5 linked regions of the Callithrix jacchus genome follow. Each later gene encodes a partner of the first gene's protein in a complex. Links are inferred from orthologs where the notes say so. Each region holds a gene or a part of one and is shown in the gene's direction. Other genes may lie near its edges.

What was found.
Region 2: DDX5 (region 1) and HNRNPH2 share a complex: the UniProt entries of both Homo sapiens proteins name them as parts of the ribonucleoprotein complex. The link is inferred for Callithrix jacchus from reciprocal best matches to the Homo sapiens genes DDX5 and HNRNPH2.
Region 3: DDX5 (region 1) and SRSF1 share a complex: the UniProt entries of both Homo sapiens proteins name them as parts of the ribonucleoprotein complex. The link is inferred for Callithrix jacchus from reciprocal best matches to the Homo sapiens genes DDX5 and SRSF1.
Region 4: DDX5 (region 1) and PA2G4 share a complex: the UniProt entries of both Homo sapiens proteins name them as parts of the ribonucleoprotein complex. The link is inferred for Callithrix jacchus from reciprocal best matches to the Homo sapiens genes DDX5 and PA2G4.
Region 5: DDX5 (region 1) and ARVCF share a complex: the UniProt entries of both Homo sapiens proteins name them as parts of the ribonucleoprotein complex. The link is inferred for Callithrix jacchus from reciprocal best matches to the Homo sapiens genes DDX5 and ARVCF.

The regions. Positions count from the first base shown.
Region 1 is NC_133506.1:89,759,999-89,765,805, reverse strand, and holds the end of DDX5 (putative ATP-dependent RNA helicase DDX5), read left to right. Parts: coding exon 1-3; intron 4-99; coding exon 100-272; intron 273-694; coding exon 695-805; intron 806-1,030; coding exon 1,031-1,092; intron 1,093-1,183; coding exon 1,184-1,243; intron 1,244-2,488; coding exon 2,489-2,713; intron 2,714-2,923; coding exon 2,924-3,327; 3' UTR 3,328-4,969; downstream 4,970-5,807. UniProt on the Homo sapiens protein: Involved in the alternative regulation of pre-mRNA splicing; its RNA helicase activity is necessary for increasing tau exon 10 inclusion and occurs in a RBM4-dependent manner. Binds to the tau pre-mRNA in the stem-loop region downstream of exon 10.
Region 2 is NC_133524.1:97,711,574-97,717,798, forward strand, and holds the end of HNRNPH2 (heterogeneous nuclear ribonucleoprotein H2), read left to right. Parts: intron 1-1,968; 5' UTR 1,969-2,021; coding exon 2,022-3,371; 3' UTR 3,372-4,171; downstream 4,172-6,225. UniProt on the Homo sapiens protein: This protein is a component of the heterogeneous nuclear ribonucleoprotein (hnRNP) complexes which provide the substrate for the processing events that pre-mRNAs undergo before becoming functional, translatable mRNAs in the cytoplasm. Binds poly(RG).
Region 3 is NC_133506.1:108,328,330-108,335,268, forward strand, and holds the start of SRSF1 (serine/arginine-rich splicing factor 1), read left to right. Parts: upstream 1-2,431; 5' UTR 2,432-2,554; coding exon 2,555-2,748; exon of another isoform or gene 2,749-3,164; coding exon 3,165-3,349; exon of another isoform or gene 3,350-3,714; coding exon 3,715-3,887; exon of another isoform or gene 3,888-4,087; coding exon 4,088-4,274; exon of another isoform or gene 4,275-4,647; coding exon 4,648-4,670; coding exon of another isoform or gene 4,671-4,686; 3' UTR 4,687-6,939. UniProt on the Homo sapiens protein: Plays a role in preventing exon skipping, ensuring the accuracy of splicing and regulating alternative splicing.
Region 4 is NC_133510.1:63,563,934-63,567,984, reverse strand, and holds the start of PA2G4 (proliferation-associated protein 2G4), read left to right. Parts: upstream 1-1,251; 5' UTR 1,252-1,444; coding exon 1,445-1,532; intron 1,533-3,658; coding exon 3,659-3,787; intron 3,788-4,051. UniProt on the Homo sapiens protein: May play a role in a ERBB3-regulated signal transduction pathway. Seems be involved in growth regulation. Acts a corepressor of the androgen receptor (AR) and is regulated by the ERBB3 ligand neuregulin-1/heregulin (HRG).
Region 5 is NC_133502.1:211,747,803-211,754,063, reverse strand, and holds part of ARVCF (splicing regulator ARVCF), read left to right. Parts: intron 1-111; coding exon 112-638; intron 639-1,616; coding exon 1,617-2,116; intron 2,117-2,763; coding exon 2,764-2,947; intron 2,948-3,754; coding exon 3,755-3,872; intron 3,873-4,255; coding exon 4,256-4,427; intron 4,428-5,093; coding exon 5,094-5,111; intron 5,112-6,029; coding exon 6,030-6,101; intron 6,102-6,261. UniProt on the Homo sapiens protein: Contributes to the regulation of alternative splicing of pre-mRNAs.

The DNA.
Region 1 (5,807 bases):
AGAGTAAGTGTCAATCTAAATAAGTGATCAAATTCAATTCTGTTTTGGCTTTTAAGTCCAATGCTAATTCTCCCCCACACCCCCACCCCAATCCATTAGCCTGATAGGCAAACTCTAATGTGGAGTGCAACTTGGCCAAAAGAAGTAAGACAGCTTGCTGAAGATTTTCTGAAAGACTATATTCATATAAACATTGGTGCCCTGGAACTGAGTGCAAACCACAACATTCTTCAGATTGTGGATGTGTGTCATGATGTAGAAAAGGATGAAAAGTAAGTTTTAATTAACTCTGCTATGTTTGCTAACAAGTTTGCTGTAAAATTGAGAGATCATTGATGTTGAGTTAGGTTATTTCAGTTGGTGTGTTCTACTTCATTTAGTGTTAGCATATTAATTCTTTTGAAAATCTCTTGAATCTTTCAAATAATTGGCTGTAATCATTTATAGCATTCCTATGGAAGAAATTCGTGTGTCCCCTGGTTGACTTAAGGACCAAGGGTCAAACTGATTGATAAGTGAGTGGCTTAGCAAGTGTTTCTTTGACTTCTAGCCATGTAAAATTAAACCTAATGTTTTGCTGACTGTAAATGTGTGGCCATAGTGATGGTCTTTTAAAACTCAGGGTTTTCTGGCGGTGGGTCGGTTTAAAAAAAAAAAAAAGAAACAAAGGATTTTCCTTTTTCTCTCTTACTAGACTTATTCGTCTAATGGAAGAGATCATGAGTGAGAAGGAGAATAAAACCATTGTTTTTGTTGAGACCAAAAGAAGATGTGATGAGCTTACCAGAAAAATGAGGAGAGATGGGTATGTGTGGGCTCCTGCATTGAAGCAGATTTATTAGAACTGAGCTTAGGAAAGGGCGAACTTGGATCAGGAACAGTTGATTTAAGTTTCCTATCTGATAGTATGGGTAAAATGATGTATGTGTTACTTGTGGAATTAAAGGGATCTGTGAATAAAGTGATTAAGCAGTTGAGTCTTGAGGTTTTTCAATGTGAGTTTAATAATACAACTTGTCTTTTAACTTAGGTGGCCTGCCATGGGTATCCATGGTGACAAGAGTCAACAAGAGCGTGACTGGGTTCTAAATGGTAAATATTTCAAATGAAGCTTTTGCCCCTCCTTAATCTAGCTAGAATTCTGCTCAGATAATTGATCATTTGTATGCCTTCCTTTTTGTAGAATTCAAACATGGAAAAGCTCCTATTCTGATTGCTACAGATGTGGCCTCCAGAGGGCTAGGTTAGTACAAACTCGCATTCATGGCTTGGTTTCCCAGAAGATCTCCATTTAACTTTTTTAAAGAAAGTTTATTGCTTTCTTTAACCTCTGCATTTTTTCTTAAGTTTTTTTTCACATAAAGGTGCAGTCTTTGTGGCAAGGCCTAGGCATGACAATCGGAGGACTCGAGGGGGATGGAGGACTAGTGATCGGCTGGCTGCTTCCAGTCGATTAGAGAGGTGAAAAGCTGAACGTGTGCCAGTAATCTTCAAAAGGCAGAACATACCACCTCTGCCCCGTAAACTGTTCTCTCCGAGGGAAAATAAGGAAGTTATCCTCACAGTTCACTGCCGTGGTATTTCTTCTGTCCCATGCTTTGCATGACTGCCATGGTACAGCATTGTTTCAAACTGTTCACTGTGATCTGTGGGTCTTTGAGTTTCAGTGAGTTTGCTGAAATGTCGAAGAAATATTTCCAAACTTCAATGTTCAATGAAATTTTTGTTCAAGTTTGAAATGGAGAGAGCAGCTTTAAAAGGTACTAAAGCCTTTTACAAATTGGTGAGTACTGGCACATGAGATGTAGAGCAGGAGCAACTTCTCACACTTAAGTCAGTGGGAAAAGAAAGTGCTTTGAAAGTTCCTCCCTCACCTACACAGTAGTCGTCATGTCGAGACCTGCCAGAGAGAGACACATTCTCAAGTGAATCCTGGCTTCTTGGAAGCGCTTGCCTAGACGAGACACAGTGCATAAAAACAACTTTTGGGGGACAGGTATGTTTTCTTGCAGCTGCGGTTGTAAGGTCTTGGCAAGACAAGCAGTGTGGCCAGAGAATTTTGAACTTCTGATAAATGTGTAATGCAAAGGACCTTGTACATTTTTTTGTTTCAAGGTCCTCAAAATGAGCACATGAAGAGGTTGCTGTGAAACTTTAAGTGGCCCTACTGCGCAGAAGCATTCAGATGTCACTTGATGATCTGTAAGGGAACTTGCTGATTTGGGAATGTGCTAGGGATACACATTCCTTTTGACAGGGTCTGTCATTGGGTGGGTGAAGACTTAACACAGATGACATGTGCTTTTTTTTTTTCTTTTTTCAATCTCAAATGGTATTCCTACAGGGAATGGATAACCATTTTAACTGTATTTTTTGCAGCCCGTACCTTCTTGGGAATACAATTGTCTAACTTTTTATTTTTGGTCTGGCTGTTGTGGTGTGCAAAACTCCGTACATTGCTATTTTGCCACACTGCAACACCTTACAGATGTGGAAGATGTGAAATTTGTCATCAATTATGACTACCCTAACTCCTCAGAGGATTATATTCATCGAATTGGAAGAACTGCTCGCAGTACCAAAACAGGCACAGCATACACTTTCTTTACACCTAATAACATAAAGCAAGTGAGCGACCTTATCTCTGTGCTTCGTGAAGCTAATCAAGCAATTAATCCCAAGTTGCTTCAGTTGGTCGAAGACAGAGGTTCAGGTAAGGATGACTGATAGGAAATGTTGGTAGTTATGAGTCACATCATTGTCTACAAATCCATTTAAATGGTATTGGAGGGTGAGTAAAACCTTGAATGTGAAAACTTGTAAAACACATTTCAAACCTACAATGAATAGATAAAATTCTTTCTGTCCGCACTGACTTGTGTCATAGACATAATTGATCAATTTGCAATTGTTTTCTTGACAGGTCGTTCCAGGGGTAGAGGAGGCATGAAGGATGACCGTCGGGACAGATACTCTGCGGGCAAAAGGGGTGGATTTAATACCTTTAGAGACAGGGAAAATTATGACAGAGGTTACTCTAGCCTGCTTAAGAGAGATTTTGGGGCAAAAACTCAGAATGGTGTTTACAGTGCTGCAAATTACACCAATGGGAGCTTTGGAAGTAATTTTGTGTCTGCTGGTATACAGACCAGTTTTAGGACTGGTAATCCAACAGGGACTTACCAGAATGGTTATGATAGCACTCAGCAATACGGAAGTAATGTTCCAAATATGCACAATGGTATGAATCAACAGGCATATGCATATCCTGCTACTGCAGCTGCACCTATGATTGGTTATCCAATGCCAACAGGATATTCTCAATAAGACTTTAGAAGTATATGTAAATGTCTGTTTTTCATAATTGCTCTTTATATTGTGTGTTATCAGACAAGATGATAGTTATTTAAGAAACATGAGAATTGCAGAAATGACTGCAGTGCAGCAGTAATTATGGTGCACTTTTTCGCTATTTAAGTTGGATATTTCTCTACATTCCTGAAACAATTTTTAGGTTTTTTTTGTACTAGAAAATGCAGGCAGTGTTTTCACAAAAGTAAATGTACAGTGATTTGAAATACAATAAATGAAGGCAATGCATGGCCTTCCAATAAAAAATATTTGAAGACTGAATTAAGTGGAAATTGTACTTTATTTTACATATGTCATGTAAACTTTGCTTAGATGATTTTTTTTTAATCATGAAAACGAATGACGGCTCTTTTTTTATTTAATTTGGGAGGCGGCGGGGAATCAGAAGGCCCTTCTTTACAATGAGCTATTCATATTTCTGGAGTCAAAATGAATTGATTTAGGTGAATTTTTAATATTGGATAAAAGGTTTGTTAGCTCCCAACATCAGAGGAGTTATTTAATAGCCTGCTTCCTTATTTGCTAGTATGGTTAAATGAGAAAATAGAAGAATAGATACAAAGTCATCTGTATAATGTGAGAAGGTGGGTGACTTTGTTTTGCAAATTTATAATTTAAAAAGCTCCAAATAACTGGCTTTTTCACGAGATTTATATTCATGCTCTTGGCTATACTGTGAATTATTGAAATGTTGAATGAACCTGGGAAAGACGTTAGTCCTTTAAGATGACCAAGAGCTAAGCCTGAGTCTCCTTGATTGAATTTGCCCAATGTCCTTAGTGCAGGTTACTTGTAGATTATAGTTTTCACAGGCTCCCTGGGGCTCTTTTCACTTTAGTCACACTGGGAGTCATGAATGTCTTTCCAATAATTCAGGGAATTCTAGAGATCTTCAAACTGTAAGGTCTATTCATACTCTAACACAAGGAACAAACCTCATTAAAATTAATGGCTAATCAGGAGGCAACATAACCAAAAGCACAGTGAATACAAGTTTTCATGTTAGATTCAACATGGGTTTATTGCTAGACCCAGGAGATAGCTTTAGATTTAACTTTGGCTCACCAACCTAACTTTCTGATCATGTATTTCAGTAATAGCTAGAAATGGGTCTGAATGTTTTCCCAGAGTCTGACATAATGTGTCTTTTGCCAGAAGAGAGGTCTCAAGGAGACTTCATTTAAATTCTGATTATTGAACTGAGGCTTTAATTGTTGTTAATGCCTTATGTTAAATGTAAAGTTAGATTTTGCTAGGGCTGGGATGGGGAGTATTTCTAGAACTTAAACATTGAAAACTAATTCAGCCTCTAGTAACCTGGATGGTTTTCAGTGGCATGGTTAGTCAAATTCATGGTTTTAAACTTAGAAACAGCTTTTGTGGGAGGTGGGTAGGTTGGAGCATTTATTACATATTTTACTGTTTAATGTCTAACCGTGGGCCTTTTAATTTGTAAACACTTACTGAAATGATTGTGGGACTGTGGAAAACATTTACCTATTTACCTTTGAAGTTTTAAAAGACAGTCCACTTTTTAGCATGTGTGTTGTGTCCAGCCTGTGGTTGTCTTAACTAATAAATGTGATTTTTCTCCCCATTCTCTCTCTTATTTATTTGCGTATAGGCCTCTTACCTGGTGTGAGTTCCTGAAAGTGGAAAACACCTGGCAGTAGTACCTAGCTTTGCAGTTATTTACTATATTTGCTTTCCAGCAGTACTGTTTCACTTTCTAGCTTGCCTCTTTTTAAACCCTTGTACACACTTGTAAAGAACTGTTTCCTGAACCTGGTACGGCACTTTGCTAATGATACAAAACTTTACTCCCAAGTTATATTAAGTCAATTGCTAAGCTGTTACCCACTCATAATCAAATGGTAGTTTGGGAGTCCAGTGAAATAGAGGTTGTTCCTTTCTCCTGTACCTCTGTCTTTAAAGGTTTCTGGAGCTAAGTGAAACTTGTATAAGAAATAATGGGCTTTTAAAATCAGATTTCTTCCTTAGTCTGGGTATACAACTTTTCCTCTTTCTGGGCAGTTCTTCCCTATTTAAATAGAAATTGTAAAGTCAGAAACCTGTGATGTAATCATGGGTCTTTTAAAAAACAGTCACAAGTCTCGTTGTTTTGATGACCCCGTACAAGGAGCCCCTGGAAGAAATCGCAGATACGTTAGTGGTTTTCTGTGCATCACCAGTGTTTGGGCCACTTGGTTTATTAATCGTGCATTTCCAGGTGAGGCGGATGCTGCTGCCTGGGGACTGCCTTTGGGAAGCCACTGCAATAAAGTGATTACCACTACCCCTGTCCCAAAGCCCCACTGCAGCCTGGGTGCTTAAGCATCAAGACCACGGCTCGGGTTAGGCCTAGGCCCCCAGGGGGCGGTATTTGCTTAAGAGTTACGGCTTGGGTTTGAAAAACCACAGTGGAGCACTAAAAC
Region 2 (6,225 bases), on another chromosome or scaffold:
CTGTTGACTAGATTCCTGGAAGGATTCTAGCCATGTCAAAGGCTATGGAAACATGTATTTTTTACATAGTTGAGATTGTAAAGCAGCTGTGCTCTTGGGTCACTTACAGTTATACCATAAGTAATTTCTCATGTTATTAAATATTTTTGTAACTTTTAAAATATGTGATATTCCAGTTTTTTTTAATAAAGTACTTTTCATAGAATATATTGCTCCATAAATCTTTGTCTGAGTTTCATATCATCTCCTTAGGGCACATAACTGAAATGTATTTGCTGTCAAAAGGTGTCATACATATTATCAAATTGCTTTCAGAATATAGTGGGATTTATCAAAAAGGAAATAGTTTATATCAATTGTAACTCCTCTAGTAGTGTATTAGTTTGTGAACCCTGGGTAGCACTGATTTACGGTCACTGTTTAATTTCCATTATCTTGATGGGTGAAAAATAAGGATTAGTTCTGGTTTTAACTTGCTGGAAATTGATGAAATTTGAATATTTCCAGATAACTCTCCTGTATCCTCCTATACCTATATTCTCCCATACTTAATCTGTTATCAAGTCCCACAGATTCCACTTTTTTTCAGTATGTGTGGATCATATCTTTTCTCCATTTTACTCCTGTTGCTTAGACAATTCCTTTAACATATCTTTAAGAGACTAGTTTTTTTTTTGAGACCTTTTGCATTGAAAGAGACGAGTTCTAACTAATTAATCTCAGTAGTTTCACCTCAACCCCCTTCTGTTTTAGTGCCACACTGTTGCCAGGGTGATCTGCCTGAAAGGGTTTTGGTGAAGTCACCCCACATACTCCCCAGTTTAAAAGTCTTAAAAGGTGTTTAGTGTTTGTATATGAAAGTCTTTGGGATCTGATCTATGCCTTGCCAGCCTTTTCTCTTGCTTTTCCCTCTCCTGATTGTGCTTCATCATAATATAAAAAATTTTGTTTATGGATCCCTAGACAGGTTAGTCTGTTTCATTTAACCATTTGGCCTCCAAACAATAGAACTGATCAACTGCTCCCTCCTTAATACTGTGCTTACACCTCACCCAGAGGGTCATGGCAATTATAATGTCTATTTGCATTTATGTCTTTAATAATTACATACAATCCCCCTGTAGGACCATAAGCCCTTTGTGGGCTTATTGATTCTTGTATGCTAGAGCCGAGTATTGGACTTGGCAACTACAAGATGTTTCTAAAATGAATGTGTGAATTCCCAATAATGTCTTTTTTTCATTTATCTCTGAAGCCTAAATATATCCCTGATTTTATTGATTTGCCTACATTTTTATATAAGGATATTATATAAAGAACTTATATAACTTGTGTTTTGTGTTTTAATTATTGTTTAATCTTTTGATCTAGTGAAGTTTTTTATGTTTATATATTCAGATATAGCCATCTTTTATTTGTTGACATCTCCCATTTATTTGTTGCTGTTAATTTTTTTTTTTTTTTTTGAGATGGGATTTTGCCCTGGTTGCCTAGGCTGGAGCGCAGTGGTGTGATCTTGGCTCACTGCAACCTCTGCCTCCTGGGTACAAGCAATTTTCCTGCCTCAGCCTCCTGAGTAGCCGGGATTACAGGTGCCCACCACTATGCCCAGCTAATTGTATCTTTAGTAGAGATGAGGTTTCACCACATTGACTAGGCTGGTCTCAAACTACTGACCTCAGGTGATCCACCTGCCTCGGCCTCCCAAAGTGCTGGGATTACAGATGTGAGCCACGGTGCCTGGCCAATTGCTGTTAATTTTTAATGGTATCCAACACGTAATAGGCATTGAATAAATAACTGTTAAAAAATGAATGAGTTAAAAATTTGGTGAATTCTTTTTTGTTTATACAGATGTCTTACAGCAAAGCTGTCAGCATAATTGAGTTTTCTATTAATAGTTTGCTTTTCTCTTTTACTGTATTAGCATTTTTCCATGACAGTAGTCTTCTAATTTTTTTTTTCCAGCTACACCAAAATTGTGTTGAGCCAAACTTGCCACCAAGAGCCCAACAGTCACCATGATGCTGAGCACAGAAGGCAGGGAGGGGTTCGTGGTGAAGGTCAGGGGCCTACCCTGGTCCTGCTCAGCTGATGAAGTGATGCGCTTCTTCTCTGATTGCAAGATCCAAAATGGCACATCAGGTATTCGTTTCATCTACACCAGAGAAGGAAGACCAAGTGGCGAAGCATTTGTTGAACTTGAATCTGAAGAGGAAGTGAAATTGGCTTTGAAGAAGGACAGAGAAACCATGGGACACAGATACGTTGAAGTATTCAAGTCTAACAGTGTTGAAATGGATTGGGTGTTGAAGCATACAGGTCCGAATAGCCCTGATACTGCCAACGATGGCTTCGTCCGGCTTAGAGGACTCCCATTTGGCTGTAGCAAGGAAGAGATCGTTCAGTTCTTTTCAGGGTTGGAAATTGTGCCAAATGGGATGACACTGCCAGTGGACTTTCAGGGGCGAAGCACAGGGGAAGCCTTTGTGCAGTTTGCTTCGCAGGAGATAGCTGAGAAGGCCTTAAAGAAACACAAGGAAAGAATAGGGCACAGGTACATTGAGATCTTCAAGAGTAGCCGAGCTGAAGTTCGAACCCACTATGATCCCCCTCGAAAGCTCATGGCTATGCAGCGGCCAGGTCCCTATGATAGGCCAGGGGCTGGCAGAGGGTATAATAGCATTGGCAGAGGAGCTGGGTTTGAAAGGATGAGGCGTGGTGCCTATGGTGGAGGGTATGGAGGCTATGATGACTATGGTGGCTATAATGATGGATATGGCTTTGGGTCAGATAGATTTGGAAGAGACCTCAATTACTGTTTTTCAGGAATGTCTGATCATAGATATGGAGATGGTGGGTCCAGTTTCCAGAGCACCACAGGGCACTGTGTACACATGAGGGGGTTACCTTACAGAGCCACTGAGAATGATATTTATAATTTCTTCTCACCTCTTAATCCCATGAGAGTACATATTGAAATTGGACCCGATGGCAGAGTTACTGGTGAGGCAGATGTTGAATTTGCTACTCATGAAGATGCTGTGGCAGCTATGGCAAAAGACAAGGCTAATATGCAACACAGATATGTGGAGCTCTTCCTAAATTCTACTGCAGGAACAAGTGGAGGGGCTTATGATCACAGCTATGTAGAACTGTTTTTGAATTCTACAGCAGGGGCAAGTGGTGGCGCTTATGGTAGCCAAATGATGGGAGGGATGGGCTTATCCAACCAGTCTAGTTATGGCGGTCCTGCTAGCCAGCAGCTGAGTGGTGGTTATGGAGGTGGTTATGGTGGTCAGAGCAGTATGAGTGGATATGACCAAGTTCTCCAGGAAAACTCCAGTGACTATCAGTCAAACCTTGCTTAGGTAGAGAAGGAGCACTAAACAGCTACTCTAGATATAAAAGCTGTACATTTATGGGAGTTGAATAGAATGGGAGGGATGTCTAGTATATCCAGTATGATTGGCATATGGGAAATATTATTGATACTGATCACTCTTGGTCAGCTTCTCTTTCTTTATCTTTCTCCTTTTTTAAGAAAACAAAAGTTAAGTTTAACAGTTTTGCATTACAGGCTTGTGATTCATGCTTACTGTAAAGTGGGAGTTGAGATTATTTTGAAACTTCAAGTTCAGTAATTTTGAACACTGAAACATTCATCTAGGACATAATAACAAAGTTCAGTATTGACCATAACTGTTTAAACGATTTTTAGCTTTTCTCAAGTTAGTTATGTTGTAGGAGTGTACTTAAGCAGTAAGCTTATTTAGGTTAATGCAGTTTCACTTATGTTAAATGTTGCTCTTATACCACAAATACATTGAAAACTTTGGATGCATGTTGAGAAACATGCTTTTCTGTAAAACTCAAATATAGGAGCTGTGTCTACGATTCAAAGTGAAAACATTTGGCATGTTTGTTAATTCTAGCTTTTTGGTTTAATACTCTGTAAGGCACGTGAGTGTACACTTTTACTTTTTTTTTTTTTAAAGGATACGGGACAATTTTAAGATGTAATACCAATACTTTAGAAGTTTGGTCGTGTCGTTTGTATGAGATTCTGAGGCTTTGGTTTAAATCTTTCCTTGTATTGTGATTTCCATTTAGATGTATTGTACTAAGTGAAACTTGTTAAATAAATCTTCCTTTTAAAAACTGGAAAAAATCTTGCTCTGATTTTTATTATGTTCTGTCATATGGGCACACTGATTTTATAATTCCCTCTTAAAAATTTTAATTTAAAAATTATATTTACATCTTTATATGTTCATTGTTGCATATATCATTAGTTATTTCTAAGATACATCCCTAGAAATGGGATTGCTGAGTCAAGGATATACCCATTTTTAAGGCTTGTGATTTGTGTTACCAGAAAGATTCTGGTACTTTATCTTTCTACCTAGAGGACTGTGTGTTTTATTTTTCCCCCTCATACCCTCCTTATTGATGTACGTTAGTTTTTTTGATCTTTGCCAGTTTGTTAGTTGAGAAATGATATCTTTGCTATTTTAATTTGTATTTCTTTGATTAATATTAAAGTTGAACATTTTCTTTAAAAAAAACTTATTACCATGTCTACAGGACTGTTGAACTACTTTTGGAGACTGTTCTTACCAATATAGTATTCTCTAAAATCCAAAGAAGTGAAAGCAAATAAATAATCCTTTTTATTTCACCACAAACTAGAAGGCACCTTTGTATGTTAAAAAAGAAGTAGGCTTACAATTATTATGTGTTGAAAACAAAACATAAAAATGAAGCAGGCTTATGTTATGGCAATAAATTATCTCTTCCATGAATTTATTAGTAGAGTCTCTAAACACTCCCAGGTGTTTTTTAGGGCATCTAAAGCTTATCTTAAACCAGTGGTTCTCAAAGTTTCATGTGCATCAGAATCATCTGCAGGGCTTACTTAAACATTCATTTATAGGCTGCATCCCTAGAGTTTCCAGTTCAGTAGTTTTGGGATGTTGCTTGAGAATGTGCTGATGCTGCTGGTCTCAAGACCATGTTTTGAGACCCATCACAGTTCCCCAAACAGCAACTTTAAGGAGCAGCTTCCTTTATGATCCCTGATTTCCTCCCCTTTGTTCCTGTAACAAGTAGTTTAAATTTTCTATTAAAGTCTCAATCACGTATTTACAATGCCTCAGACCTCCCAGGATTCTGAGAACCCGTGGTATCATGCTGATATCTTAGATTTCTGTCTGAACCACAGTGGTTATTAACAATTCCACACCTCAGTGACCTTCAGGTCCTGATGTCCCTCTGATCAGTACCAGCTGTACCTTGAACTACAGATCTCTTTGTAGATTTGACCACTTGGGAACTGGATTGCTCTATGTGGGCTGTTTACGGCTTGAGGGCCAGAGAAATGAGATGGGAGGCAAATACCAAGTTGGTATTACCCGACTCCGTTTCATTCAGGAAATGAAAATCAATTCCAAAAACTCATTCAAGCCAAAGGTGCAGTGGGACATGATTTGAGATTCTTTGCTGACTTCTAATTTTTATCACAGCTCTCAGGAGAGCAAGAAATCCATTTTGACTCCTATCGTGTTGAGTCAGTCCTTGTCCTTCAGGAAGCCTTTCTTGGAGGGTAAACAAGTAGGTGTTTTTTGCCTTTCCAGGCTACTCAGTTAATTTTCTAGAAGTTTCTCTGGATCTGGGCAAAGATTCTCAAGTTAGCCACTAGATGGCACCAAATCTCAGGAAACAATAGACGGCTCCTGTGGTCTTAGATGTTGGCTTACTTCGCTGGATAAGAAAACTCAGAAGGTCTCTGAGGAGCAAATGAGAGAACCTGGAGAAGGTCAGTGGTCAGCAATAGAGGTATGCAAAGGGACAGCAGTACAGCTGGTGTGCACATGCGTGTACACACCACCACTTGTGCTCCAACATGCAAATCTAACACTATCCAGGAAAGTTTGCTGGGAGTAGAGCGGGCAGCCCACCAACAACACCCCAAAACACTGAGTCGGGGATTTATTTTCATCTGCGTTTGTCACCCACTTGGCACGATTAGGCAGAAAATTTGCATCCACAATTATCGTGGCCTAAGAGTATCGGATGGCTTCTGCTAGTGGTTCTCAGGGTGTGGTTCCTGGATCAGTAACAGCATGAACCTACACCTCATGCAATACGCAGATTCTTTTTGCGCACCCCCCTGCCCCCTTTCCCCCAACGAGTGAATCAGAAACTGTGGGGGTGGAGCCCAGC
Region 3 (6,939 bases), about 19 Mb from region 1:
TTCCAGCCTGAATGACAGAGCAAGTCCCTGTCTAAAAAAAAAAAAAAAATTGGCTGGGTTCAGGGGCTCATGCCTGTAATCCCACCACTTTGGGAGGCTGAGGCTGGTGGATCACTTGAGGCCAGGAGTTCGAGACCAGCCTGGCCAACATGGCAAAACCCTGTTTCTTCTAAAAATACAAAAATTAGCTGGACATGGTGGCACATGTCTGTAATTCTAACTACTTGGAAGGCTGAGGCACAAGAATGGCTTGAGCCAGGGAAGCAGAGGTTGCAGGGAGCTGAGATCACATCATTGCACTCCACCCTGGGTGACTCAAAAAAAAAATACATACATACATATATATATATATATATATATATATATATATATACACACACACACACACACACACACATATAGTTCTTTTCCCTTTTGGGATCTATGGACTCCTTTAAGAATTTGATTAAAATTTCAAATCCTCTTCCTAGAAAAAAGTACACACATGCATATATTTTTGTAGATGTACACATGCATAAAACTTTGGAAAATATTACAGAAAGTTCGACTACCGAACGTCATCTGTGCATATATTGAGGGTCCACAGACACAAGACCAAGCATTCCTGCTTATTTCAATTTGATTTTTTTTCTTTTTCTTTTTTTTGAGACGGAGTTTCACTCTGTCGCCCATGCTGGAGTACAGTGGCTCGATCCCGGCTCACGGCAACCTCTGCTCTCCGGGTTCAAGCGATTCTCCTGCCTCAGCCTCCTGAGTAGCTGGGACTACAGGCGCACGCCACCATGCCCAGCTAATTTTTATATTTTTAGTAGAGACAGGCTTTCACCATATTGGCCAGGTTGGCCTCAAAACTCCTGACCTTGTGATCTGTCGGCCTGCCTCAGCCTCCCAAACTGCTGGGATTACAAGCGCCCGCCACCACACCTGGCTTTTTATTTTTATTTATTTATTTATTTATTTTTTGAGACGGAGTTTCTCTATTGTTACCCAGGCTGGAGTGCAATGGCGCGATCTCGGCTCACTGCAACCTCTGCCTCCTGGGTTCAGGCAATTCTCCTGCCTCAGCCTCCCGAGTAGGTAGGATTACAGGCACGTGCCACCATGCCCAGCTCATTTTTTGTATTTTTTAGTAGAGACGGGGTTTCACCATGTTGACTAGGATGGTCTCGATCTCTTGACCTCGTGATCCACCCGCCTCGGCCTCCCAAAGTGCTGGGATTACAGGCGTGAGCCACCGCGATTGGTTTTCACCATGTTGGCCAAGCTGGTCTTGAACTACTGACCTCAATGTGACCCGCCCATCAAAGTGCTGGCGTGAGCTACCACGCCCAGCCTGATTTTAATTTGAATTCATTACCTTAAAAATCCCTGGATTTAACATAAAAAATCTAGATTTTAGACGTCGGAAAAAAATGTAAAATATTATCTCCCAAGACTGCAGGCAAGTAGATCACAGTCCTGAGTAGCAACCGCGGTCTCTAGTGGTTACGGTTCTCACATCCATTTCGCTCCATTTTATTACCTGAGAGGACTGGTAGTTTCAAAACCTGGTATATCAGTAACTTTTAGGGAAAACTGCACACACGCACCCCTTCTTCCTTCTCTTTATTTGAAAGGAAACAACGGAAACAAATTTGCAAATCTTTTGCGCCAGTCCCACGGATAGGCGACTAACAAGAGATACAGAGGTGTGGGTCCCAGAGGCGGTACGGTGTTTTCACCCCTTCCGGATAGCTAGTACGACCTACCCACCGCGACTAAGCACAAGGAGTGCTGAACTAAGCTATGCAAAGTTCTGACCAGAAGGTGGAACGGTACTTAGTGAAGAGGATTTATTTAGGAATCGAAATCGGTTTTGCTAAATTAGACAAATCTCATTGTCTAAGGAGCCACGCCCTGTTCGCAGGAGGAGAGGGAAGACAAACCAACGCCCCAGCTCTCCAATGGCACCTCAGCTCTGAACTAGACGCACTCTACAAGGATGCCTGGGTTTCCGGAGCAACCGCCCGGTCCCTCCCCCTTTGGCCCCGCCCCCGAGACTCCTTCCCGCCAAAGGCCGTTATCGCCGCAGAGCATGGTGGGACAAGGCTCTAGGCTAGGTTTCACCAAGTCCTTTCAAGGCGCCGAGTTGCTTTCAGAGATCCTCATTCCTGGGGAAACTGACTGTCCTTCAAGACCCGACCTGGAAGACTAGCTCCTTTAGAGAGAGTTCTTTATTTAACTTTTACCAAACGGCCACTCTATTCGCAAACCACCCCAAGCCGGGAACGCGGGGGACTTTTTTTCCCCCTTCGTGCGGAGGGTGACGTCGCGCGTGCGTGCGCGCGCGTACGTTGAACGTAGTCTTCGCAGCGCGTGCGTGTTGGGATCGAATCGCTGTTTCCTTCCGCTTCTCTTCCTCTGTCTCCCCCCCCCCCCATATCCGTGCGCCGAACTGATAAAGGCGCCATTTTGGAGGGGCCGCGGGAGACGTGGTGCCGCTGCGGGCTTGCTCTGCCGTGCGCTAGGCTTGGTGGGAAGGCCCGTTCTCGAGTCCACGTTTTTCGTCGCCGCCATGTCGGGAGGTGGTGTGATTCGTGGCCCCGCAGGGAACAACGATTGCCGCATTTACGTGGGTAACTTACCTCCAGACATCCGAACCAAGGACATTGAGGACGTGTTCTACAAATACGGCGCTATCCGCGACATCGATCTCAAGAATCGCCGCGGGGGACCGCCCTTCGCCTTCGTTGAGTTCGAGGACCCGCGGTGAGGCGGCATGGGGCTTGCAGCCTTGAGGAAATAGGTCCGAGTGGTCGGGGAAGACTCCAAGGCCTTAATATAGAGAACGGGAAGGCGGGGGCTCTTAGAGAGGATGGGGCGAGACTGTATCGCCCATGCAGGAGTCGAGTGAGGAGCTGAGTTGGTGTGGCTTCTCTGGCGCCTCGCCTTGGACGTCCCCGGAGCCCATTCGCAGGCTGGAGCGGGAAACTGAGGCGCTGAGGGCTGGTGTAGTGGCTGGGAGCCTGGCGTGTTTCTGGGTGGGGGAGGGGTCATTCCCATTATGCGGCGCATGTGGGCTCTTCCACGTTGGGTGCGCATGTGCGGGGGGTTCGCTGGTTCCCGACTGAGCGATCTTCTCCTCCTGGTCTTTCTCATGCCTTTTACTGTCTACGATCCCGCAGGGACGCGGAAGACGCGGTGTATGGTCGCGACGGCTATGATTACGATGGATATCGTCTGCGGGTGGAGTTTCCTCGAAGCGGCCGTGGAACAGGCCGAGGAGGCGGCGGGGGTGGAGGTGGCGGAGCTCCCCGAGGTCGCTATGGCCCCCCATCCAGGCGGTCTGAAAACAGAGTGGTTGTCTCTGGTAAGTCTACCGGTTGTGTGGTTGATGTGAAGGGACGGAAACTACTTAAAAATTTTCTCTTGCGTGACCGGTTTAACAATTGCAAATTTTTCATGCTAGGTCTTAAATTGCTTTAGTTTTTGGGTGAATTTAATAAACGAGGATTGCTGCTGTGGTGATTTACCAAATTAGGTTGCGGTACTAGATACGAAGATCCGTTACAAATAATTTTGGACTCTGGATTCCAGAATCTTACCAGCTCTTTACCTGGTATCACTTAAGTACAACTATTAAGTATTTTAAAGTACTCTTTGTCCTAATGTACCTTATCAGCTTAACGTGAAATTTAAGATAATTGATACTAAGAAAAAAAATCGCTTTTTCAGGACTGCCTCCAAGTGGAAGTTGGCAGGATTTAAAGGATCACATGCGTGAAGCAGGTGATGTATGTTATGCTGATGTTTACCGAGATGGCACTGGTGTCGTGGAGTTTGTACGGAAAGAAGATATGACCTATGCAGTTCGAAAACTGGATAACACTAAGTTTAGATCCCATGAGGTAGGTTATATGCTTATTCTTTTTTTTGACCAGAATTGGATACAGTGGTCTTAACAGTGGAATTTGAAGGTAAGGATTCAGGCAAGGGTGTCCAAGTAAATTGCCAGATTTCTGGTTTTAGTTACATTGTATTCATTCAGCATGCCTGAAGCTAGGTGAAAGCTTAGATCTTTCAATGGAAAGTTCTGTCTATCCAATAGGGAGAAACTGCCTACATCCGGGTTAAAGTTGATGGGCCCAGAAGTCCAAGTTATGGAAGATCTCGATCTCGAAGCCGTAGTCGTAGCAGAAGCCGTAGCAGAAGCAACAGCAGGAGTCGCAGTTACTCCCCAAGGAGAAGCAGAGGATCACCACGCTATTCTCCCCGTCATAGCAGATCTCGCTCTCGTACATAAGATGATTGGTGACACTTTTTGTAGAACCCATGTTGTATACAGTTTTCCTTTATTCAGTACAATCTTTTCATTTTTTAATTCAAACTGTTTTGTTCAGAATGGGCTAAAGTGTTGAATTGCATTCTTGTAATATCCCTTTGCTCCTAACATCTACATTCCCCTCGTGTCTTCGATAAATTGTATTTTAAGTGATGTCATAGACAGGATTGTTTAAATTTAGTTAACTCCATACTCTTCAGACTGTGATATTGTGTAAATGTCTATTTTGCCCTGATTTGTGTGAACTGGGATGTTGGGGATGTTTATGGTTATCTTACCTGGGGAAGTTCTTATGTTTATCTTGCTTTTCATGTGTCTTTCTGTAGACATATCTGAAGAGATGGATTAAGAATGCTTTGGATTAAGGATTGTGGAGCACATTTCAATCATTTTAGGATTGTCAAAAGGAGGATTGAGGAGGATCAGATCAATAATGGAGGCAATGGTATGACTCCAAGTGCTATTGTCACAGATGAAATTGGCAGTATTGACCTTATACTAAAAGGCAGGGGGGTAAAAATGATTATATACATTTTCCTTAAAACACTTGAATGTTTTATTCAGTTACCTTTAGCTACAATTGCTTTACCTTTTAAACCTTGGCAATTGTGGCAAAATTATGTTGCCCATTTTGTAGCAACTTATTTTGCTCCCTTCCCCCCATTTTTGTTATAATAGGGACTAATGTGGGAAGAACTGGCTAATTTGTCGCAGTGCTTAGTTACAACTGTTAATGTGTGACCTGCTGTTGGTGTACATGTGGGTAGAGGGTGTCTTTAAATCCAACAAGATAGAGTATAATATCAATACTGCTAAATCTGCATGTCCTCTGTGTGACTGATAGAGCGTTGCTATTTCATTTTTTTAAGACAAAATGAAAGCAAAATAATAGAGTTCCAATGTATTGGTGTAGATAATCTAGTTGGGAATACTTAGGTCTCACCTTCCCCTTTAATATTCATAATTGATTCATATGTTTAAAACACTTTAATTTACAAATTAAATTGCAAATGGGAGCATTAGATTTAGTTTTAGATTAGGTGGGTAGCAATGCCAGTAAACTTAAATTACATAACTTCTTGCAACCACGAAACCTGTAATACACTGTACAGTAACAAGTGTTGGCATTATCAGTTGAACTGTAAATATAAGATGCTTCTTCCAGTTAGTCTCTATGATGATTAAGTTTCTAAAATTTATCTGAACACCATTCAGAAACTTGTTTTGGGGAATTTGATAGTTATTGATGTGCATCTGTTAAACTGATGACTGACATAACTCATCATTCCCCAGAAACCTTTTTTGATTACAGTATCTAACGTTTTGCCTCCTCTTTTTTGGTTTTGCTGGTTATAAAGGTTTGGATTGGAGAGGGCTCACTGGATCCCAATCCTTGGAGCTGGATCATTGGATTCAAATCATAATGTGGATAGGATAGGGAGGATGAATTACCAGGATTCATGGAGCGGGATCAGATTACCAGGAACATAGGAGTGGATTCCTGCCCCAACCAAACCGCATTCGTGTGGATTTTTTTATTCAACTTAATTGGCTATTCCAAAGATTTTTTTTTTTCCTATTTTTGACGATTGGAGCCCTTAAGATGCACGATGGAATTGTGTTTTGCATTTTTTGGTAAAAGGAGCAAAGCGAGGACCTGGAGATAAACGCTGGAGCAATCTCCTTGGAAGGATTCAGCACGAGTAGATGGTAAACATTTAAAGGGGAAAAGGGGGGGGTTTGTTTAAAATAGTAAATCAGTAAGTCACTTCTAAATTTAAAGAAAACAAAATTGGAGTTGAAGAATAAGTAGGTTTCCAATTGGCTATTGCCATTTTTCTTTGAAAAAATAAACATTTTTTAAAAAACTATGCATGGTTGTCCTTTTTCCTCTTCATGTAAGATTCTAACTGGGTCTGTCAGTTAATCTTTAAATTGTTAAGTAAGATTTTGACTCTTGTGTTTATATGTTAGCAAATTAAAAGTTCTTAAAAGGCAATCTAATGGTATTAGCTATCTTTTATTGTTAATTGTAAAAGTCTTCAGGGGAAGGCAAAAGGGGAATAAGGCGTTTGTATATGTAATGTAAATGATGGTGGGGGGTGGGTCTAGCATCTGAAAGATAAGCTTCTCAACTTTGTAAAGTGATTTAAAAACTACAGATGCTGCTTATTTTCTGGTAGTCATATAGGCAACAGGCTTTTGTGCAAAATTGGTTGATGGCTAGTAAATTAATTTTCACTTGGAAATAGTTTTGATATTCTCAAACTCACCTCAAAAAAAGGTAAGTATTAAATGTTAACATCAGCACAGATGTATTATTAGAACTGGTTTTTGTTTTTGAGACAGAGTCTAGCTCTATTGCCCAGACTGGAATGCAGTGGTGTGATCTGGGCTCACTGCAACCTCCACCTCCTGGGTTTGAGTGATTCTCCTGCCTCAGTCTCCCGAGTAGCTGGAATTAGTGTGTGCCACCTCGTCCAGCTAATTTTGTGTTTTTAGTGGAGATGGGTTTTCTCCATGTTACCCAGGCTAGACTTAAAACTCCTGGCCTCAAGTGATCTCCCTGCCTCTGTTAAGATTGCAGGTGTGAGCCACCGTGCTTGCTTGGCCTATAG
Region 4 (4,051 bases), on another chromosome or scaffold:
GTGAATGATCTTTACTCCTTATCTGAGGGCAGATTCACAAGGATTCCCCCAAGATTCACTTTTAGGAGCCATTCTCATCCCAGCAGTAAGAAGCTTCCAGGTAGGATAGAAAGAAGACCCAGTTTCACGCCTCTGTTCCTTTGGATGGGGAACTGAGGGAAAATATCTGTTGTATCACTGAAATGTTTTGTTTTTATACATGTCTGAATAAAAATGCCAAAGTTTTTTTCAGCTTCCTGTCTGTCAAATGAAAACATTTCATATGTTAGATAGATCTCCTCAGCAGAGGACAGTCACCTTTCTGTCTTCTGACAATGCTACTCCGTCCCATGCAGCTTTCTCTAGTCCTATTATTACTTGTATTTCTTTAGAACAAGCATAGCTTATAGTCCTTTGGGGTTTTAGTAGGAATCTACAAAGCAAAAACAATTGAGAATAACAAAAACAAATAACCCACGTGCTTGGGGACTTATAAAAAGCACTATATACGTGTCCGGTCTCCTTCAGAGGCCAAATACTGAAACCTCTACGTGTTTCTGAATTCATTCTTAGAAAAGTCACCAAATCTTTTTATTTTGTTTTTTCACAGTAAGCGCTCTCAACAAACATCTGTCTTTCTGAACACTTCCCTTAAGTGCTCCATCCAGCCTGTTATTGGAACAATGTCATGTTACTTCTTTAAGGAGTCCAGCCTCTAGATTGGGAGGCCTTTAAATGGATGATCCCTCCGGATTCTGGCTGCCCAGTTAGCCCCTGCTCCCAGCACCCTAGGTCTTCTTCCATCTGTCTGCCTCTCCCTATTCTCCCAGCTTCGCAGGACTACTGGACCGGCTGGGCGGGTTTCGCCAGCCGATCGAGGGATCCAAGGAAGGGCGCACCCCGCTTCCCCGCCCTAGGTGTAGACACTGCCCACCCGCCCCGGCTCCACCCTTGCCTCTAAACCTATTTCCCCGCCGTAGCTCCGCCCCTCTCCCCTCGGCCCGCCCCTCTCTGTTACGGGCTCTCGCTCAGAGTTCTCGGTGGAAGTGGTTTTTCCGGGAGAGACCACGCTTCCCCGCAAGCTCCCCAACGGCTCCGCCTTCCCGCCGGAGCCTGACCCTTCCCAGCGTGCCCGGCAATTCCGGCGTGCGAGGCCCTTGGAGGGCAAGGCCCCTGGGCCTGGCTTAGGAGGGCGAGAGGCAGGCTGGGAATTGTAGTTCTCAAGCCCCCGAGGGCGGCTAGAGGCTGGCGGTGAAGAGGACTAGTTGTCCCAGCGTGCCCTGCGCCTCAGCCCGCGCGCTCGCAGCTTCTCGCTCTCGCCAGCTTGCCCGCTCCCTTGCTTGCTCGCGCTTTCGCTCGCCCTCTCCTCGAGGATCTAGGGGACTCTGACCACAGCCTGAGGCTGGGAACGGGGACAGAGGCGGCGGCTCAGGGGAAACCAGGCTGCAGTGGTGGTGGTAGGAAGATGTCGGGCGAGGACGAGCAGCAGGAGCAAACTATCGCCGAGGACCTGGTCGTGACCAAGTATAAGATGGGGGGCGACATCGCCAACCGTGAGTGCGGCCTCAGGGGTCGGGGAATCAAAGCTGACAGGGAAAGGTGCCAGGCTGGCCCCAAAGGGGCTGGAGAGGAGGGGTCATGCGGAGTGAGCTACCGAGGGGTCCGCACCGGTTCTCTGGGGGCGGCGTGGTGGAAAGACCGGGTGTAGCGCCTGGGACCTGAGTGGCCAGGCCCAGGCTGAAGTCTGTGGACGTGTGGGCCGGCGACTGGGATGAGCGCAGAGAGGGACCCCTGGCAGGCTCCGACCCGAGGCCGTTTGTTAGGAGGCAAGACAGGTTTTCTCCTGTTCCAATCCTTCAGTCCCGATTTCTGCTTCATCTGATTCTGGCAGCGGCGAGGCCACCTCGAAAAGGAAGCGCCCAGCTATTGGCGACAGAAGCCCCCCTCTTGTTTTGTCGATTCTCTGGGGCTTCAGGAGCCGAGCCTCTCGCACGTGTTGCTGGGTCCCCTTGCGGATGGCTGGCCCCCTTCTTCCTCCACTACTGTCCCTGACACCAGCTTCCTTGCCACGTGCTTTGCTGGAGCCTTTCCTTTACTTCAGCTCTTACCCTGGTGGGGGCCCCCTTCTACCCTTGGACCAGCTAAGGGATCCGTTGGAGGGCACTCCGGGAGCTTCTAACCAAAGTCTTGGAGATATATATGGCTTTTCTTGAAGTTACTCATTACTACCACCTTTCCAATCTGTGCAGATAGCCTTAGTTAGCATTCACATTTGTTGTTCTCAGTGACTTGACAACTCAAATGTTTTGGAGTCCCCGTCTTATCCCAACTAGGCAAGCTTGCAAACAGTACTGGAAAAGAGAGGACTGATTTTAGGATTGTCACAAGTCATCTTTATTCAAGCTGTGCTCTGACGATCTCAGCAGTAGCCTGTCACTGTAGGCAGATGTCACTTTCTCTTTTCTCTCTTTCCAATTCGCCTTTCCATTTTACTTAAAACTCAGGGAGATAGAAACTGCTTGTCCGTGGGCTTTTAAATGTTTTTTGGGGTGTGTGTGTGTGTGTGGTTTTTTGGTTTTTGTTGTTGTTGTTTTTTGAGACAGAGTTTCACTCTTGTTGCCCAGGCTGGAGTGCAATGGCGCAGTCTTGGCTCACTGCAACCTCCGCCTCCTGGGTTCAAGCGATTCTCCTGCCTTAGCCTCACAACAGCTGGGATTACTGGAGCATGTCCTTATGCCTAGCTTGTTTTTTGTATTTTTAGTGGAGACCGGGTTTCACCATGTTGGCCAGGCCGGTCTTGAACTCCTGACCTCAGGTATCCGCACACGTTGGCCTCCCAAAGTGCCTGGACTGCAGGTGTGAGCCACTGTGCCCAGCTTTTAAATGGTTTTAACAGCAAAGATGGTGGGGAAGCGGTATTTAGGATGCCTCCGGTCCTGTGGGTGAAAATCTGAGTTTTTACCAGCTTTCAAAGAATCACCAAAACTGAGATTTCAAAAATCAAACCTGTGCACAGTGGACATTTAGTATAGTACCCTGGTTTTTGGTGCCTGTTAGTATTTGAGATAGTAGTTTGAATCAGAAAGTCTCTTTTTTGCAGTTTATAACTTCAGGCCATTGTGATCTCAGATATAAATTTTGTAAATTTGGCCTCACATCTCTTTGAGATAAGCCATGATCCCCTGAAATGAAACCCAGGGACCTTAGGTTAAGCCCCTTTGGCTTATACTCTTGTTTATGAGGAAATAAGTCTACATAGGTTGAGATTCCTAACACCTAATTAGAATGTCTGAGAAAGGAAGGCGGTAACATTTAATAATGCATCAGCTTCGAGTCTGCAATTCTGTCTACCTTCTTGTTGTCCCTGATGCCTATAAATTTCATCTTGTCTTTGCGTGTATGTGGGCATACCTTGGCAAGAACCCTCTAAAGTTCATAACTCTGTCCTGTCACACCAAAGGTAGCATCTTTGGAAAGTCCAAGGCCTTGCCTAGGAAGATGGATTGTATATACCCACTTGTAACGTAATAAGGAAGGGAAGGGAATGTTGTCCTTTCAGCCTCGGGGCAGTAGCACTAGAGAGTATTACAGACTCCTAAGTCCAGCTTCCAGGTATTCCTTGGGTGGTAACTAGACAATAAATACATACAAGGCTGACATGATGGCATTCTGTCCTCAGGGGTACTTCGGTCCTTGGTGGAAGCATCTAGCTCAGGTGTGTCGGTACTGAGCCTGTGTGAGAAAGGTGATGCCATGATTATGGAAGAAACAGGGAAAATCTTCAAAAAAGAAAAGGAAATGAAGAAAGGTAAAAAAAAAAAAAAAAACCTCACTAATTTCCCATTTGACCCTTATTTAGTTCTATATGTTTTATTTTTTTCATTGTAATGATGCAGTCTCCACTCCAGCTCTGGTTGAGATATTTGAAAATTTGGAATGGCAAATGGGATACAAGCAGTTTTCTTCCTAATCCAAACTGATCAAAGCTTAAGCAAGTCCCTGAAAATATCCTTACACTTTTCTGAAGGGCAACAGGGCTCCCAGGAGAAAGCAAGGCAGTAGGCTGATGATT
Region 5 (6,261 bases), on another chromosome or scaffold:
CCACCTGGGGCCTCTCATTGCTCGAGTGGGAAATTGTGGCGAGCCAGGCCCCAGCAGGGCAGTTTCCAGGCCTCTCGGGTTGCCCCACCCATCTGCCTGTCCATCCACCAGGTCACCAAGACTGTCAAGACGGTGACCACTCGGACGGTCCGCCAGGTGCCCCTGGGCCCGGACGGACTCCCCCTGCTGGATGGCGGCCCCCCACTAGGCCCTTTTGCCGATGGTGCCCTGGACCGGCATTTCCTGCTGCGTGGTGGTGGCCCAGTGGCCACACTTTCTCGAGCCTACCTCACCAGTGGGGGCAGCTTTCCCGAAGGCCCCGAGCCCCGGGACGGCCCCAGCTATGGCAGCCTGTCCCGAGGGCTGGGCATGCGGCCCCCACGTGCTGGCCCGCTTGGCCCAGGCCCTGGCGATGGCTGCTTCACACTGCCTGGCCACCGGGAGGCCTTCCCTGTGGGTCCTGAGTCTGGGCCACCAGGTGGCCGCTCCCTGCCCGAGCGCTTCCAGGCAGAGCCATATGGCTTGGAGGATGACACGCGCAGCCTGGCCGCTGATGATGAGGGCGGCCCTGAGCTAGAGCCTGACTATGGCACAGCCACGAGGAGGAGGCCTGAGTGTGGGCGGGGCCTTCACACCAGGTGAGCTGCACCCTGTCCCCTGTGGCTGCCTCCTCTGGGAAGTCCACCCTCCATCCCCCAGCTACAGGGTGCTCCACTTGTCAAGTGGCTGCAGTTGAGTTAGTCATGCATGTTAGTTTGAGTTGTCCTTGGCTTTTGTCAGAGACAGAAGAAAGGTAGGCCCTGGGGTGGTAGGAGTTCGGCTGGGCACCGTCCTGCAGGCCCAGGGCCCAAGAAAAGCTGGGAAGAGTGCCGGCCACTGGCCTTGCTGCAGCCATACCCTGGATAACCAGAACCCAGAGCCCTGGCCCGCCCTGGCCCTTCCTGTCACAGACCCTGGTTCTGTCTCCACTGCCCTCAGTTTCTGTTTCTCTGGAGTGGAGACATGACCACAACCCAAGTCTGGATTTTGCTCTGCGAGCTTGGCCAAGTCACCTGGCCACTCCTCGCCTCGGGCCAGTGGGTTTGATGACAGCAACCCACAGGGCTACTGAGAGCTATGGAGATCTTGTGCCCAAAGGGTCTGGTGGCCGGATGAATGCTCCTCGGTGGTCCTACTGGGATGGCTTCATGCGGAGAGGGTCATTTACTCCCCCTGCATGCTGGCACAGGCAGAGACGGGCTTCATGGAAGATGGGTGGTTTCGTGGACGGGAGGTGGGCTCTCCAGCAGCCCTAGCAGATGTTGCACAGAGACATGTTTTGCTCGGGATCGGGGAACACCGCCTGGTGACAGCAGTAAGCGAGCTTGCTGTCCTGGGAGGGTTGCCAGGGGACTGATAGCTGCTGGCTGGGGTTTGGCATTTGGCTCTAAATTAGTTCTCACTGGGCTGGTGCATGACTCTCCATGCCCCAGCCATGTTTGGGGCTGAGATACTGTGCTCCCAGCCCAGCCCTGCTGGGTGAGTTTGCAGTCCTGAAGAAGGTGTGATGGGGCAGCTCAGAGGCAGGGCTGGTGGCTGCTGTGACGATGTCCCATGTGCCCCACTCGCCTGTGCAGGGCCTACGAGGATGCTGCAGATGATGGCAGTGAACTGCTGGGTGAGCGGCCTGCGTTCTCAGCAGTGACAGCGCCCCTGGCCCAGCCTGAACGGGGCAGCCTGGGCAGCCTGGATCGGCTGGTACGGCGCTCACCGTCGGTGGATAGCGCCCGCAAGGAGCCACGCTGGCGGGACCCGGAGCTGCCTGAGGTGCTGGCCATGCTGAGGCACCCCGTGGACCCCGTGAAGGCCAATGCGGCTGCCTACCTGCAGCACCTGTGCTTTGAGAACGAGGGAATCAAGCGGCGTGTACGGCAGCTGCGGGGGCTGCCACTGCTCGTGGCACTGCTGGACCACCCGCGGGCTGAGGTGCGGCGCCGGGCCTGTGGGGCACTGCGCAACCTCTCCTATGGCCGCGACACTGACAACAAAGCCGCCATCCGGGATTGTGGTGGTGTGCCTGCTCTGGTGCGCCTGCTGCGGGCCGCCCGGGACAACGAGGTCCGCGAACTGGTCACTGGTGAGTGGACCTGGCTGTGCCCACATCCCTGGGAAGCGAAGGGTGCGGGGTTCAGCCCGGGAGAAACAAGGCCACTTGGCCTGCGACTGCCCGGGAAAGCGTGCGGGTTGGCAGGAGTGCAGCTGCTGAGACGCTTGCCCCGGGAGGCAGGCGTCAGGTCTAGACACTGTGACACGTTCCCCAGTCTCTACCATAGCGGGGAGGCTGACACTAGGCCCCCCAGGCATGCCCTCACCTCCTGACCCCACAGAAACTCCCCTGGGACCCGCCTCCTTGGTTCCCATCCCAAGAGTACAGTGGTGGAGCTTGCGCCTTGTAGGACCTTAGAGACAGGTGGGGTCACTTGACCGTGTCTCCATGAGGCCCTGTGGCCTTGAGAGTGTTCGTGCCACCTGCCACGTGGCAGGGAGTGGGTAGGAAGGAACAGCAGTGCCATGCCTTCTTCTGCACTTCATCCCCTTTGGGGCACCTTCCTGGCTGGAAGCCGGTACTGTGTGCCCCCCAGAACCACTCACGGCTTTTGTTACTTCTCCCGTTGTGTGTGAGCTGGGACAGGAGGAGAGTGGGACGGGTCCTGAGCGTGGCCACCTGGGGAGGTGGGAGGCAGTGCACGTGGTCAGCAGGACTTGGCCGATCGCACCCCACAGGCACACTGTGGAACCTGTCATCCTATGAGCCCCTGAAGATGGCCATCATTGACCATGGCCTACAGACGCTGACCCACGAGGTCATCGTGCCCCACTCAGGGTGGGAGCGTGAGCCCAACGAGGACTCCAAGCCACGGGATGCTGAGTGGACAACTGTCTTCAAGAACACGTCGGGCTGCCTGAGGTGTGGAGCAGACCCAGTGCTAAAGCCCACATGCACACCAGGCCCCGTCCTCATGGTCCCAGATAGCATGGAAGATGGCGGCCAGCCGCCTGGACCTTTGGAACTTCAGAGCTGTGGCACAAGCCCTGTGGATGAGACGTGGGGCCTGAGGGGCTGTGCTCGCCCCCAAGTGGTGCCTCAGTCTCCCCAGGGGCACCCTCTGGAGGGGTCTCTGTGGTACCCTAGCCCTGCCCAGCTTCCACCCACCTTTCCATCATGTGACAGCCAGAGGGGGAGATGGGACCTTCCTGTTCATCTGCCTGGGAGGCTCATTCCAGCCACCTGTGACCTCTGCCCTTCCCCTCTTACCCCTGGGAGGCTCTGCCAACCCCACAGTGTCCTGGGTCCCCACAGTCCTGCTTGTCGGTCAGGGTGTTCCCCTGTAACCCTTCAGGCTCTTTACCTTGGGGCAAGGTGGGGCCCAGAGCTGCCATTGGGGTGGTAAGGAACCCAGAATTGCTCTTGCACAGGTTCAGGTCTGAGTCTACCTGTCCCTTGCCAGGTCATCCCCAGATGACAGGAAGCCCTGTCTTCCCCTGCCCAGCTGTCCCCAACCAAGACAGCTGTCTGCCAGGGCCCCCTCCTGAGGTCTGGGGGCAGTTAGCTTCTCCCGCTTCACTGAGCTCCGGGCTTCGGGGTCCTTTCCCAGTAGACTGAGAGGGCAGCAGCAGGGCCTATTTTGCAAATGAAGACAAGCTCCTGAGGTCAGGGCGGGGATGGGGAGTTTCTGGTGGCCAGGGGTCACCTGGCCTGCTCTTGGTCACACAGGAATGTAAGTTCCGATGGTGCCGAGGCCCGGCGGCGACTCCGGGAGTGTGAAGGGCTGGTGGACGCGCTCCTGCATGCCCTGCAGTCAGCGGTGGGCCGGAAGGACACGGACAATAAGGTGGGCGGGGACAGTCACAGCCTCATGCCAAGGGCGGGAGAGACCATCACGCAGGTCCTGGGAGGCCAGAGCTGTGGGGGCAGCACAGGAGAATGAGTGTGAGGGTCTGAGGCGGCGCCCTGGGCATAGCCTGCTTTGCAGTGGCCACACTGAAGTGGGCACAGTGTTGTAGGTGGAAGGTGGTCCATGCGGCAGGGGCTTCCTCCTGTGGACCCTCCCTGGCACTGGCAGTTATCACCCTTTTGCCACCCCCCCCCATCTACTGAGGCCTCCCTGTCCCTTTGCTCCCGATGCTTTAATGCACACCAGCTGTGGCCAGTCTTCCCTTAGGGCTGGCCCTGTGCTGAGGGTACCCTGCCCCAGCCACTCACCTCTCCCTGCAGTCGGTGGAGAACTGCGTGTGCATCATGCGGAATCTGTCCTACCACGTGCACAAGGAGGTGCCCGGGGCCGACAGATACCAGGAGGCCGAGCCTGGGCCCCTGGGCAGTGCTGTAGGCTCCCAGCGCCGAAGGCGGGATGATGCCAGCTGCTTTGGTGGCAAGAAGGCCAAAGGTGGGTGGGGTGGACTGGGGTACCACTCTCGACTCCTACCCTAGCTGAAGGTTCTCTGTATACCCACAGCAGCCCATCATGGAGGCCAGAGGACACCTGGTCAGCCCCCAGCAGGCAGGCAGGGAAGCAGGGAGCTAAGGAGGCTGCACAGCCTTGGGTCACATGGTTGATGGGGCCCAGCTCCAGCCTTCCCCATCTGCACTGTGGGACCCCCAGGGAGGACACAGTGGAAACCAGGTGGTCCCATCAGTGCCCAGACTCAATCTCTCCACTCCTGGGGAGAATTTATTTCACTGGCCCACAAGTTGGGGAGGAGCCATGGCTGATGCTGGCTATAGACCACCACCAGCCTGTGCAGCAGCCCATTTTCCTGGGCGAGGTGCCCTGCACACCTTCACTGCACTGGCAGGGTATAGGTTCCCGGGACCTCCCCAGCAGCTGTGGGGTCCTGTGTACCGCCTGCCTGTTCCGCTGACCTAGGCCTCCCCTTTCTTGTCTTACTGGTGGATGCTCAGTGCCCAGAGTGGTGGGATGAAGTTCCACATGCTGCCTGCTTGGTCCAGGGTGTGCAGTGGGAACCTGAGGCCTCTGGGAGGGCACGGGGGGTGACGGGTGCTGCCCACTCAGGCTCCTCTCCTCTCTCCTCTGCTTTCTCCGGCTGCCCAGAGGAGTGGTTCCACCAAGGTGAGTCCCTGTTCATCCTGCTCTCCAGGCCTGGCATGTGCAGTGGGCACCTGGGAAGAGGGGAGCACACTCCAGCCCCAGGGCCCTGCTCCAGCCCTGGCTTCGTCACTTGGACAGACATCTTTATGACAGTGGCAGGTGGGGAGGCCAAGGGTCTCACTCTGTAACCTCAGACTTTCGTACCTGGGCAGAGCCAAGAGTGGGCAGGGCCCGCACTGTGCTTGTGTCTAGGGACACCTGGGAGCAGAGTCTATTTCTCTGATAGAATGGGGCAGCATGTGGCTCAGAGGATACAAGTGTCCCGTGAGGGTGAGCAGGCAGGCACCCCAGGTCATCTGGTTCTGCTCTGCTGCCTCCTGAAAGGGTCGAAGCATCGTCTGAGACAGGGAGAGTGGCTGAGACAGGGCTCACTGTCACGGAGGTGGCTGCACAGATGTTAGGTGGGCTACTGTGGAGTTTCTCCTGGCTCGTAGAGCCTGGATGATGTCCTGACCCCAGACTGGGGGAGTTTACCCAGCTCTGCCTTACTGTGTGAGCCAAGCAAGTCCTGTCCCGGTCAGCCTTCAGTTTCTCCGCTTACATCCACCTGCCATCCAGCCAGGGCTCCTGACTTCCTCGGTCTACACACTTGGCAGTTGCAGTGGAACTGCTGGGAGGGACAGCTCCCAGCAGCAGGTGGGAGATGAGTCCTAGGGGCAGGGCTGGGACACTCCAGGCCCCACTGCCACCAACTCCTTCCCCTGGGCTAAACTGTCAGCCCAGACTCTGACAGCAGTGCTCTACTCCCAGGGCCTCTTAGTGCCCCGGCCCGGATGTGGGGGTGCTTTTTGGGGCCTGGGCAGGAGAGAACTGTATTCACCCCTCCTGACACACCCATGCACCTTATGGGGTCTGCCTCACCGCCCGCCACCTTTCTAGGAAAGAAAGATGGTGAGATGGACCGGAACTTTGACACGCTGGACCTGCCCAAGCGAACTGAGGCTGCCAAAGGTGAGTGGGCTAAGACGAAGCCAGCTCCACTGGGGGATGTCTGGGCGCAGGACTTCCCTGGTAGTGAAGCTTTGGGCCATCTGGCAGGCCTGGAGGGCCTCAGAAAACAGATGGGGAAACTGAGGCCCATAGGTGCAGGATTTCCTGGAGGATGATTGAG